3 linked regions of the Oryzias latipes genome follow. The protein of the gene in region 1 purifies or fractionates together with the protein of each later gene. This does not show direct contact. Links are inferred from orthologs where the notes say so. Each region holds a gene or a part of one and is shown in the gene's direction. Other genes may lie near its edges. The genes, in order: smad1, runx2 and ski.

The links.
Region 2: the proteins of smad1 (region 1) and runx2 purify together in Homo sapiens (affinity purification with western blotting; 3 studies listed by BioGRID). This does not show direct contact. The link is inferred for Oryzias latipes from reciprocal best matches to the Homo sapiens genes SMAD1 and RUNX2.
Region 3: the proteins of smad1 (region 1) and ski purify together in Homo sapiens (affinity purification with western blotting, with the first as the bait; 3 studies listed by BioGRID). This does not show direct contact. The link is inferred for Oryzias latipes from reciprocal best matches to the Homo sapiens genes SMAD1 and SKI.

The regions. Positions count from the first base shown.
Region 1 is NC_019859.2:18,368,684-18,372,335, forward strand, and holds part of smad1 (mothers against decapentaplegic homolog 1), read left to right. Parts: intron 1-1,297; coding exon 1,298-1,531; intron 1,532-2,345; coding exon 2,346-2,602; intron 2,603-3,652. UniProt on the Homo sapiens protein: Transcriptional modulator that plays a role in various cellular processes, including embryonic development, cell differentiation, and tissue homeostasis.
Region 2 is NC_019882.2:3,172,615-3,176,266, forward strand, and holds part of runx2 (runt-related transcription factor 2), read left to right. Parts: intron 1-990; coding exon 991-1,155; intron 1,156-3,652. UniProt on the Homo sapiens protein: Transcription factor involved in osteoblastic differentiation and skeletal morphogenesis. Essential for the maturation of osteoblasts and both intramembranous and endochondral ossification.
Region 3 is NC_019865.2:32,981,550-32,985,301, forward strand, and holds the start of ski (ski oncogene), read left to right. Parts: upstream 1-1,371; 5' UTR 1,372-1,810; coding exon 1,811-2,719; intron 2,720-3,752. UniProt on the Homo sapiens protein: May play a role in terminal differentiation of skeletal muscle cells but not in the determination of cells to the myogenic lineage. Functions as a repressor of TGF-beta signaling.

The DNA.
Region 1 (3,652 bases):
CCCTGACAAGTGGGAGTGTCCAACTGCGGTTGCACATAATATCACAGCCCAGATCACATTCTGTTAAACAGCTTGAGCTTGTGTTGCTAATCTAATTAGTGGTAGTGACCTCCACTAAAATATTTATGCAGGAAAAATCCTGTTTTAAAGATCAAAAACTTAAGGATGTTAGTCTATGTGTTCATATACTTTTAATATTTTTTGACTATGACGCCTAAACTCTTCATTCCATTATTAGTGACAGTATTATGAAAAAATATTACGTGCAAAAATGTGATTTCATTAATATGAAAAAGAAGCATTCAGCTATTGCTAAATCAAAAAAAAAAGATGGATGGACAGAAAATAAAGACACACTTTGTATGCTTTTGCCAAACTCCAATCTAAATATTCATGACTATCCCTAATCAGACTTACAGCACCTTGTCTGGGTACTCTGGATTTTTTTAATTTTGTGTTTACTTTTTTCTAAAGTTGCTCAGTTGTCTTTCATCATCTTCAGGTTCAATGAACTAGAAGTGTATCTATTACGCAATAGGTGGGAACACCTCAATAGTCAACAGAACGGACTGTGATTGGCAGCCAGTTGTTTCAAAAGGAATCCCACACAACAGAACTCCGGTCCACACAGAACCAAGGTTCTTATTTTTGTGAAGCGGCTGTGCTCAGTACCCTCATTCATATAACAATAAAGGTCCAGCTCATAAACGGCTCATTTATACAGTTTTATTTTAAAAAGCCTCCCAACTCTCTTGAATAATATCAGACCCATGTATGTTTTTTTTTTGTTTTTTTTGTTTTATTGCTTCTACAAATGTCTACAATTTTGCACACCAAATCTCAGAGATTCTGGACACTTCTACAGATAATGGTACCGGGCGCAGCTGCTCAAAACAAATCTGTTGCTGGAAGTGGGAGTTGGTGCGTCTTTTTCTGCTCCACAAGCTGCATCCTGCACCGGAAGCAGGTTTCTATTGTGTACCAGCTCCAGTTAGGCAAAAGACAAAACACACCTGCCAGTCAGTGCCATGCTAAAGAGGGATTTTGGGAGACATATGTACCTAAATACACATGATTTGTTCCTTTCAATTATGGGATGGGGCCAGCTCAGAACTCTGGCAAAAGTAACTGGAAATCCGGAATGACTGCGAACCTTTATGATGAAATTATTCATTTTTTCTGCTTCAAGTCTTAAAGATATTATGTTTTAATATTTAAAAAAACGATTGATGAGATTCTGTTGTAGGAGTGAGTTAGAATTGATGTGGACTGACTGACTATGTTGGAATGTTCTCAGTGTCCTCTCCAGATGTGCAGCCAGTGGCTTATGAAGAACCCAAGTACTGGTGCTCCATTGTTTACTACGAACTCAACAATCGAGTAGGTGAAGCGTTCCAGGCTTCCTCCACCAGTGTTCTCGTCGACGGCTTCACAGATCCCTCCAACAATCGCAATCGATTTTGCCTCGGCCTGCTCTCCAATGTGAACCGGAACTCCACCATCGAGAACACCCGACGGCACATTGGCAAAGGTAATCCCGTAAGCAGGTTCCTATGGAGCTTAGCTTTTGTTTCTGATATGAACACACAAACCTTAACTCAGTAAAATGGAATCACAAAAAGGGGGGGGGGGGGGGGGGGGGGGGGTTCAGACCAGGGCAAAGTAAAGACCATACCGTTTTAAAACCAGAAATATCACTGCGGACACCTAAATATAACTCGCTCTTTGACCTTTATTTGCATAAACAGTTGAGAAGTGACGGTAGTTGAAACAATGTCAAGCTCAGGTGGGAAAGGGTTAAGATAAGATAAGATAAGATAAGATAAGACTTTATTTATCTCATGATGGATAAATAAAGTCCATCATGGACTTTATTTCCAATAAAGTCATCCAAATAGCAAATATTCAGTAGCAAATATTTGATTATTAGTACATTAACCAGATGTGTAACTGGATCCCTTCTGCGTTGTTTAAGGAGTAAAAAGATGTTGGGACACAGCAGAACCCATGGAGACCACCTCTATGAATTGCGGATCTGACAATTTTCCCAAAAGAAAATAGAAACCACAGTGTTAGCATCCCGTATCAGCTCCTCTCCCACGGGACTATAAAACAGAAAGGGCAGGGGATAACGCATACCTGACAATTTTCTGAGAAGAAAATGATATATAATAATAAAAAGGTACAAGGTACATTAAGCCCATTCATATTTTAAGTGAGGGTCTGCACCAGGATAAAAAAACAAAAATGTCACCTTAACATCTGACTGTTTTAGGTTCATGGCTGATGATTCTGACATTGAAGTTATGGTGATTAAACGTTTGTCTCTCTGTTTCACCTCTTAGGCGTCCATCTGTATTACGTTGGAGGAGAGGTGTATGCAGAATGTCTAAGTGACAGCAGCATATTTGTCCAGAGTCGTAACTGTAACTACCAACATGGATTCCACCCCACAACTGTGTGCAAGATTCCCAGCAGATGCAGCTTGAAGATATTCAACAACCAGGAGTTTGCTGAGCTTCTGGCCCAGTCTGTCAACCATGGCTTTGAGGCAGTTTACGAGCTCACTAAGATGTGTACCATCCGCATGAGCTTTGTTAAGGTGAGTTGGTTCGGCGAGACTGAACGAGAACAGGAAGTTGGGGTTGTCCTTAACACTCTCCCCCCTTAGTATGATCTGTGCTGTTATATCTTTTCTATTTATTTTAATGCTTTGCCTGTAGCCTATTTTTTATTAACAGTTATTTTAATTGTCGTCTTATGATTCCTTTATAAATGTTATTTTTAGCTTTTAAGGTAGACAAAGAAAACAGATAACAAATAACCGCCGGGCAAATTCTGGCTTATTGCAGGGATGCTTTTAAATTGAAATTGAAATTGAAGTTAACTTTTATTGGCAACAACAACCACAGATGGTTGGTGCTGCCTGTACTTACAGGTTCCTTTTGTAGCATAAATGCAAATGTCTGTCTGATGTTAAAACCAAATTGATTATCAGTAGAAAACATAAAACAATTAAAGTAATCTGAGTTATGTTGATTTCAATTACTATTTGTATAAAAAAACATTTGTATAAAAAAAGAAATGTTTATTTTTTCATCAGTGAATCCCTATTTGCAGAAATAAAAGTTACAAACAAAATACACAGATTTGCATCGTTGAGCACCAGCTGTTTCCAGCATCACTTTAAACTACTAGAACTGTCAGGACACGGTTTCCCACAATGCACTGTTTTGTAGTGATAAGGTGCCTCGCAGATACAAATTTAGTACTGCGCTGAACTGGGTAGGCGCATTGCACCCGCCCTTTTTTCTCGAGATGCTTTTATGATGATTGACATGTGACGAAGCATAAAACTAACCAGCATACACCGCACAGCAGGTGATCTGTGCAGCACTGCGTCCGCCTGGGGGATATCAAACACTATTAGATGACTCTGGTGATCACACATCCTGATAGGCTGAAGACACTTGATTTAGGTAGATTTAGGTAGTCCCGGGAGAGCTGGGACACAGGCAGGATTATGTAAATTATGTAATCCTGGAAACATTTGTTTTTAAATATTTCTTATATATTAAAAAAAGTTCTGCACATTTGTAATTCATGTGAAAACATAGTTTGATTTACAAGACATTCTTGCATTCCTATAAAT
Region 2 (3,652 bases), on another chromosome or scaffold:
GTAGCATCCCGTTCCCTCCTTTCACTGGAAGTCGATAAAGCACGAACCACTTCTTCTTTTTGTCATTTAAATTGATGTAGTGCAACTTTAATTTTTTTAAGAACCCAGAGAAAATCTTACAATGCATCACTATCTCTGTTACAGAAATCTGTTTGAGAAAATGTGTGTTTTTATGTGTTGTAATCATAATTTCTCTTTGGGATTATCCGAAAACCAAACCAGAACTTAGTAAAACAACAGCTCAATTCCAGAAGCTAAAATTTTACGTTGGCTTTTTGAAATTGAAATTTTTTGTTTGGAAATTTTTGTTGCAAAGGCATGGACAAGAAGAATGGACACTCTGTACTCTGTTAGACTCTGATTGGGTGGGTCATTGTATTTTTGTGATGGACATTTTTCTGCATTTTGTCTTCCAGTGTCATATAAGCCCATGGGGGCTGGGCACATAGTGCGTGACACTTTAATAAAATCAAACTCAACTCAACTCCAGAAAAAGTTCTATTTATATCCTTTCAGGCTCCAAGGCTTGCTAGCTGCTGGTGTTTCCTGTGACGTAGATGGGCTTTACGCTGTTGTTTTTCCCTGAAACCGTTCGCTCAGGGGTGGACGCTTTCGCTCAGCGCGCTGCCACTGAAAGCATGTCGTTGTTGGCAGAAAGACAGAACTAGGCATAACACCGGGAGCTTCCAGCGCCGTGTAGAAAAAATAAGAGGTGCTGGGATTTGCTTGCTGTAACTTTATGGAGCTGCTGCTGTGGTGCGTTCATGGCCATCATGGACAAAGCAGAACTAGATTAGTTAAGAGTTACTAGATTTTGGAGAATAAAGATCCTTTTTTAATCAGTCATAGGTCGACACTGATTGTGCTGAAATCACCATTGCAGCCCGGTAAACAAATGAAGTACATCGGATACGTTTAGGTGTTTGATTTAATCTTGTTTTGTCCCGTCTTACCCGTTTAACGTCCCCTCCTCTCCTCCTGTTTGCGCAGGGCATCGTCAAAAGCTGGAGGACCCTCCAAAAACAGGCTTGTTTCCGGACCGACTTGAGCTGGAAAGGATGCGAGTGAGAGTCGCCGTTCCCACTCAACCCCCAAGGCCGTCCCTGAACACAGCCGCCAACTCCTTCAACCCCCAGGGTCAGACGCAGATCACAGGTGAGTCATCAAAGTCGGCCTTTACCTGCACAGACACCTCTGCAGATCCTTCCAAAGAGTTTTCTGATTGTCCGGGAAGTAAAACCACTTACTGGTATTAGGAGACCTTACAGTTGTTGTCTGGTTGTTTTTCCGTGCATATTTAAATTAAATAAAACCTGGGGGTTACACTCACCTGTCTTCCCCTCCACGTGGTTTGATCTTTGCAGCTCCAAGCTACCCAAAAGCCCCTTCACCCAAAACAGGAAAGAGCTTCAAGCTTCAAGTCACTTTTCTTAAACATGTCCTCCAAAAGTTAGACACCAAAATGATGCAGCTGCTCAAATAAGGGCTTTCCAGCAATTATCTAAAAAAGCACAAATAGCTAAATTGACCATAAAGTATCAAAATAACTATAAAAAGTTTCCAGATTTTCTTTATTTTAAATCTAATATGAACATTTCGTCTTTAAAGTTCTGTCCATAATAACTGATGTGTCGATATCTTAGTCAAAGTGATCTGCAATCAAGTTTGTCATTAAATGTGATGATGATAACTTGAGATATTCACATAATTACTGCAGAATGTGGTTAGGGCTCGTCATTAAAAAACAACCTGAAGAATTAACCCCATAAAGAACGACTATTAAAAGTATAGCATCTTATTAAATGGTCAGTAACTCACAAAAGCTGTGATAACAGCTGCTGTTTGACTGGGCTGCCTCTATTTCACCTATTGTTCACCTGTTTCATGGCCTTGGCGCAAACTTTTGCCAAATGTTCAGTTTTTGTGCTACAACCAACCCACAGGAATGTCCAACTTTCATTTCAGTCGTGTGACAAAGCTCTCCAGGCCGTCCAGGAGTTGTTTCTCGCACTTTCTAATAAACAAAAGCTCATTTAAGAACAATTCTAACGCCCCTCTGTTACTATTTTGAAAAAAAGACCTTTTTTTTAACTTATTAAGAACTTAAGCCAGAAACCGTGGATCACTTCAAATCTATGAAGTCTTTGGAAATGTTTTACAAATCCAGTTCCTGATAAGTGAGACAATAACAAACTTTAGCAGCGTGGCTTTACAGAGTCTTTATAACACAATGAATAAATGTTTTAAAAACATTTGAAACATGTTTGTGCTTACATGAACCAAAATGTCAGCAAAATTACTTCTCAATGTGTTTTAATGAAAAAAGAGAATCCAAAAGTGTTATCACTGTTAAGACTTTCTGTCTTTATGTTGCAGCTAAAACTGTTTTTGCAGCCCTATGTTTGTTGTAATTAATGCTTTTTAGTACAATGTTGCACAAAATGTATATTTACTCATATCAGATGATTTGTTGGACACATCTCCTGTTTGAAGCTGCAGAACTGCTGGGATCAAAACAAGGCAAGAGCATTCAAAGCTCAGGTCATCAGGGCTTACTTTATAGACCCACTCTACAGAAAATTGTGTTTTCAACATGTTCTTGTAGCATTTGTCTAATGTTGGAGGACATATAAAAAGAGAATTCTGCTTAAAATTGCATTTCTGATCATTTCCTTATTCAAATCGTTGTGAATCGGGAGCAGACGAAAAAATGCAGTTTGAAAAAGAGCATATTTGTGACATAGAAAGCACGCTAGGCGGGCCACAAGCTTGTAATAATACAGAGAGCTCTCAGCAACAGGGAGGGGAAGGGGGGCGGGGTTGCTGCTACAACTCAGAGGTGAATTTCTGATGAACTCCTGCTGTCCCTCTGCAGACACTATGTCCTAGAAAACATCACAGGATTTTTAAATTCAGGCCAAAATCAAAATTGAAAGACCTCTTGGGACTCGTTGAAAATAGATCAAACGATGACCCGAGTGTGACTTTAAAGTTTCACTGCTGTGTGAAAAAGCATTCAGAGGAAGCTGCCTCGGTGTGAATCTGCAGAACCACTCGCAGAATGACGTCATTCTAGCCGTAGGCGGCCTGTTTCAGGTTTTGCTTGTTTGTTGTTTGTGTCGGTGATATTAGATTTCAAAGTAAAAGCACTAAAGGACGGAAACAGGGCCGGCCCTGGCTTGCATGGAACCCTAGGCGAAAAGGAATCCTGGCCCCTCCTCCACCTAGCATAGGCGGCCAGCAGCGCCGAGCAAAGTTATTCAAAAATGTTTATTTATGATTTTTTATTATTTTTACATTAAATTAGTGGTGTGGGGGGAAACAAGACAAATATATATGATTAGGATTTGGCTCCCCCCTCCAGCAGATGGCGCCCTATGTCGCCTATGCCCCTGGACAGAAAAGACGCTTAATCTTCGCTTTAGCTAACTTTTGTGCTTCGTTTTGTTGCTTTCACTCCGACTCAATGACAAACTGTGAGAGGTTGCTGGTCTGTTTACTGACTGGGTGAGACCAACAAAGATCTTTGTATCTCAGCAACTCAGACGATGCTGAATAAGGCAAACAGGTAGATCTGTTTACAGTCAAACCCTCCATTTGTCCCTACAGATGTTTTAGTGATGATTTAGCACCAACATGTGGAGCCTCTGGA
Region 3 (3,752 bases), on another chromosome or scaffold:
AGGTGGATAAAGGTGGAAAGATTTCATGTAATCCATGGACACCAGTGAAGATCACAAATCATTGAAGAAAAAAGGTTCAGAGCACTGTCTAGTGGGTCTAGATGACCCAACTCCCTAGCCCAAGTGGCTAGGATAGCACAAGGGATACACTGACCAATCAGATGCCTCAGTAAAAGTATGCAGTGCCCGCTGGCCCCCACCTTGAACATTTGATTGACAAATAGATCTGACAGGCTTTTAGTGGAAGGGTTTGGACTTCAGACAAGCCTACTCCTGATTGGTGACAGCAGTTGCCCTAGAAACATGACAGACCGACTCGGACCAACCACTGTCGTCTGGCTCCAAAAGGCGACGCCTGTTTCACAGAAGAATGCTGACTGAATTGGCTTCATTCTGCTGGAGCCAGAGGAGAGGGTGATGTCCCACTGCTTAGTCCAGTTTTATATCCAGTCCATGAGTGAAGCTCAGAGCCCCCCCCCCCCCCCCTTTCCCTGCATGTGTGTACTTGAATTTGTTACCTTAAGAGGACCTGACCTTACAGAGCCGAAGTTCAAAGTGTTGAAGTCTCGCGGGTTACATTTGAAGGATGAGGGTGAACTGTGTATGAACGGGGGGGGGGGGGGGGGGGGGGGGGCTTCTTGTGTCTGTGTGTGATTGGGTTGCAGCTTAGCTTTGCTTGCTTGCTCCAACTGCTGCTCAGTTTTTACACTAGTCCTGGTTCTCAAAGGTGAGGAGTTCTTGAGGAGTTAGACCTGATCTAAGCGTTTCTTTAGTCAGCTTTAGAACCATTTGATGACCAAGGTGACAGGAACCTCCGGCTTCCTAGACCAGCTTTACTCCACTCCACTCTACTGGTTTGTAGAGTGGTCCAGTGGTCCAGTGTTCACCGCTCAGCGAAGTATCAAACATCAGTGGTTCTTCTCTGGTCCAGGGGGGAGTGGGTGTCCAAATAATCCATTTTCAAGACCAAGAGTCTGAGTTTAGGGGTAAAAAGCCAAAGAACTGATGTAGGGTCCCTGGAACCTGAACATGGGTTTGAGGGTGTGGAGGATGGAAACAACGGCCCCCTGGGGGGCCACGGAGCGGTCCCCACCGCGGTGACTAAGGGCGGGGCAAGCCGTCAGCTCGTGAAGTTTAAATCAGAATAAGGAAATGGACAGAAGTCAACGGGACGTCCTGCGAGCTTCACTGTGAAAGTCCTCACGAGGATATCTGCGCACGCTTCTGTGTGTGCTCCTGCGCGTGCGCGCCTCTTGGGGGAGGGGGGGGGCGTTCGTGCCTGCGGAGTCAGTCGCATTCCTGGCCGGGATTCAATGACTGAGCCAGACACAAACACGGAGGGGGCGGGGGCGCGGGGGCGCGCACGGCGCAGGGAGGGCGCGCGCGCAGCCTGCTCTCAGACCTCACCCCCCGCACTGTCAGACTGAACTGCGGGGGCACACGCAACGGATCGGCGCAGTCCTCGACAGCAGAGGAACCTAAGACGGGATTTGTCCCCCCTCCCTTCAGGTGCGCTCGCGGAAGCAGGCGCGCGGAACTCGGCGGCTCTCCGGAGTTTGCTCTCCGGCCTCAGAGGCGCACAGGCGGCGCGCAGCCCGACGGACGGACGGAGCGGCCGGTCCGGCTGCGCTCTGAGTCCCGGACTTTCCTCTCCTCAGAGCGGGTGTTTGATGACGCGCCTGGTGGGTTCGAGTCACTGCGGGACGCCGTGGATTTTCCAGCTTCAGGAACGGATCCGTTTTCGGGACTCCCGGTCAGCAGCAGCAGCAGCAGCAGCAGCTCCGCGGATCAGTAAAGTTGCAGGGAAAGCATGGAGGCTGTAAGTCGGCAGAGCTTCCAGCCTCATCCGGGACTGCAGCAAACTCTGAAGCAGTTCCACCTCAGCTCCATGATCTCTCTGGGGGGCCCGGCGGCGTTTTCCGCCCGGTGGCAGCATGAGCTCCTCTTCAAGAAGGACGGGAAGGAGCCCGAGCCGGCGCTGCAGCATCTGCCGCCGCCCGTCATGCCGGGCCCGCTCTTCATTCCGTCCGACCGCTCCACGGAGAGGTGCGAGACGGTGCTGGAGGGCGAGACCATCTCGTGCTTCGTGGTGGGCGGCGAGAAGCGCCTGTGCCTGCCGCAGATCCTCAACACGGTGCTGCGGGACTTCAGCCTGCAGCAGATCAACTCCGTGTGCGACGAGCTGCACATCTACTGCTCCCGCTGCACGGCGGACCAGCTGGAGATCCTCAAAGTCATGGGGATCCTGCCGTTCTCCGCGCCGTCCTGCGGCCTCATCACCAAGACGGACGCCGAGCGGCTCTGCAACGCCCTGATCTACGGAGGAGCCTTCCCGCCGCGCGCCAAGAAGGAGCTGGGGGGCGCGGGGGCGCTGGAGCTGCAGCTCACCGACAGGAGCTTCAAAGTCTACCACGAGTGTTTCGGCAAGTGCAAGGGCTTGCTGGTGCCGGAGCTGTACGGCAGCCCGAGCGCGGCGTGCATCCAGTGCTTGGACTGCAGACTCATGTACCCGACGCACAAGTTCGTGGTGCACAGCCACAAGGCGCAGGAGAACAGGACTTGCCACTGGGGCTTCGACTCCGCGAACTGGAGGGCGTACATCCTCCTGAGTCAGGATTACACGGGCAAAGAGGAGAAGGCGCGCCTGGAGCAGATCCTGGACGAGATCAAGGAGAAGTTCGACTTTGCAAACAAGTACAAACGGAAAGCTGCGTCCAGGGTGAGCCGCGCGCGTCTCAACGTCTCCGTTCTACAGAAAACATGACAAAAGTTGTCGTGACAGACCTGCCTCCCCCCTTAGTCAGTGTTTGCTCATCTATCAGGTGGTTAGTAATGCTGCCCCCCTCCCTGGTGGCAATAAAACACTTATTTGCCTCTTGGATTGCCTTAAAACAGCCTTTATTGGTCAGAACAGTAGATGGAAGCTCGTCTGCCAACAAATGGCTCTCGGGAAAGTGTAAACACTAGAGAGTGGGGGTTGTCTTGGGGGTGGGGGGCGATGACGAGGGACATTTCTGCAGGTGTAACTTAGTGTTGGTCAGGGGGGGGGGGCAGCTCTGGACTGATGAGTCTGTGAGGTGGTGAGTTAGCTTAGAGTTGTGGCCGATGTAGGACCCCCCCCCACACACACACACACAACACCCCCATGGGGGAGAAAAAGCCAGCGTGGCCATTTGCATGAACTGTTCCACATCAATGGAGCTGATGAGGCAGGCTTTGGGAGCATTGTGGAGGAAACATAATATGATCCCAACAAAGAGGAGCATTCAGTAAACATGGGGACCCCCCCCCCCCCCCCCCACACACACACACACACTCCAGCTCTGCTTTTTCTTCTCATCTGATTTAAAGCTCGGGGGACATGTGGGGGAGGCAGACCCTCTGCAGCTGAGTGCTGGAGTCCTATCATGCGCAGAGAAAAGTCCTGCAGAGGGGGGGTCCTCCTCTTGGTCAGGAGGTGTGCAGGGGTCTCACTCCTTTTTCTTTAGTTCCACTCAAATCATCTTTTGAATTTTTTTCAGTGGTCTTTCAATTATAATGAGGCAGTTTTTTAGCCCAAATCAAAAATCCTGTGTGGTTTTCTGGGTCGCGGCTGTAGCTGCCTCCGCTGAGACCCCAAAGACGGATCTGCAGGTGGATGCATCAGAATGGAGCAGAGCAGGGGCTCTTTCATCTCAGTAGCTGGAGAGGCGGCTCTGCGTCACGGTGACAGAAGTGAGAGCAGAAGTCTCGCATGCAGACAGACAAAGGAA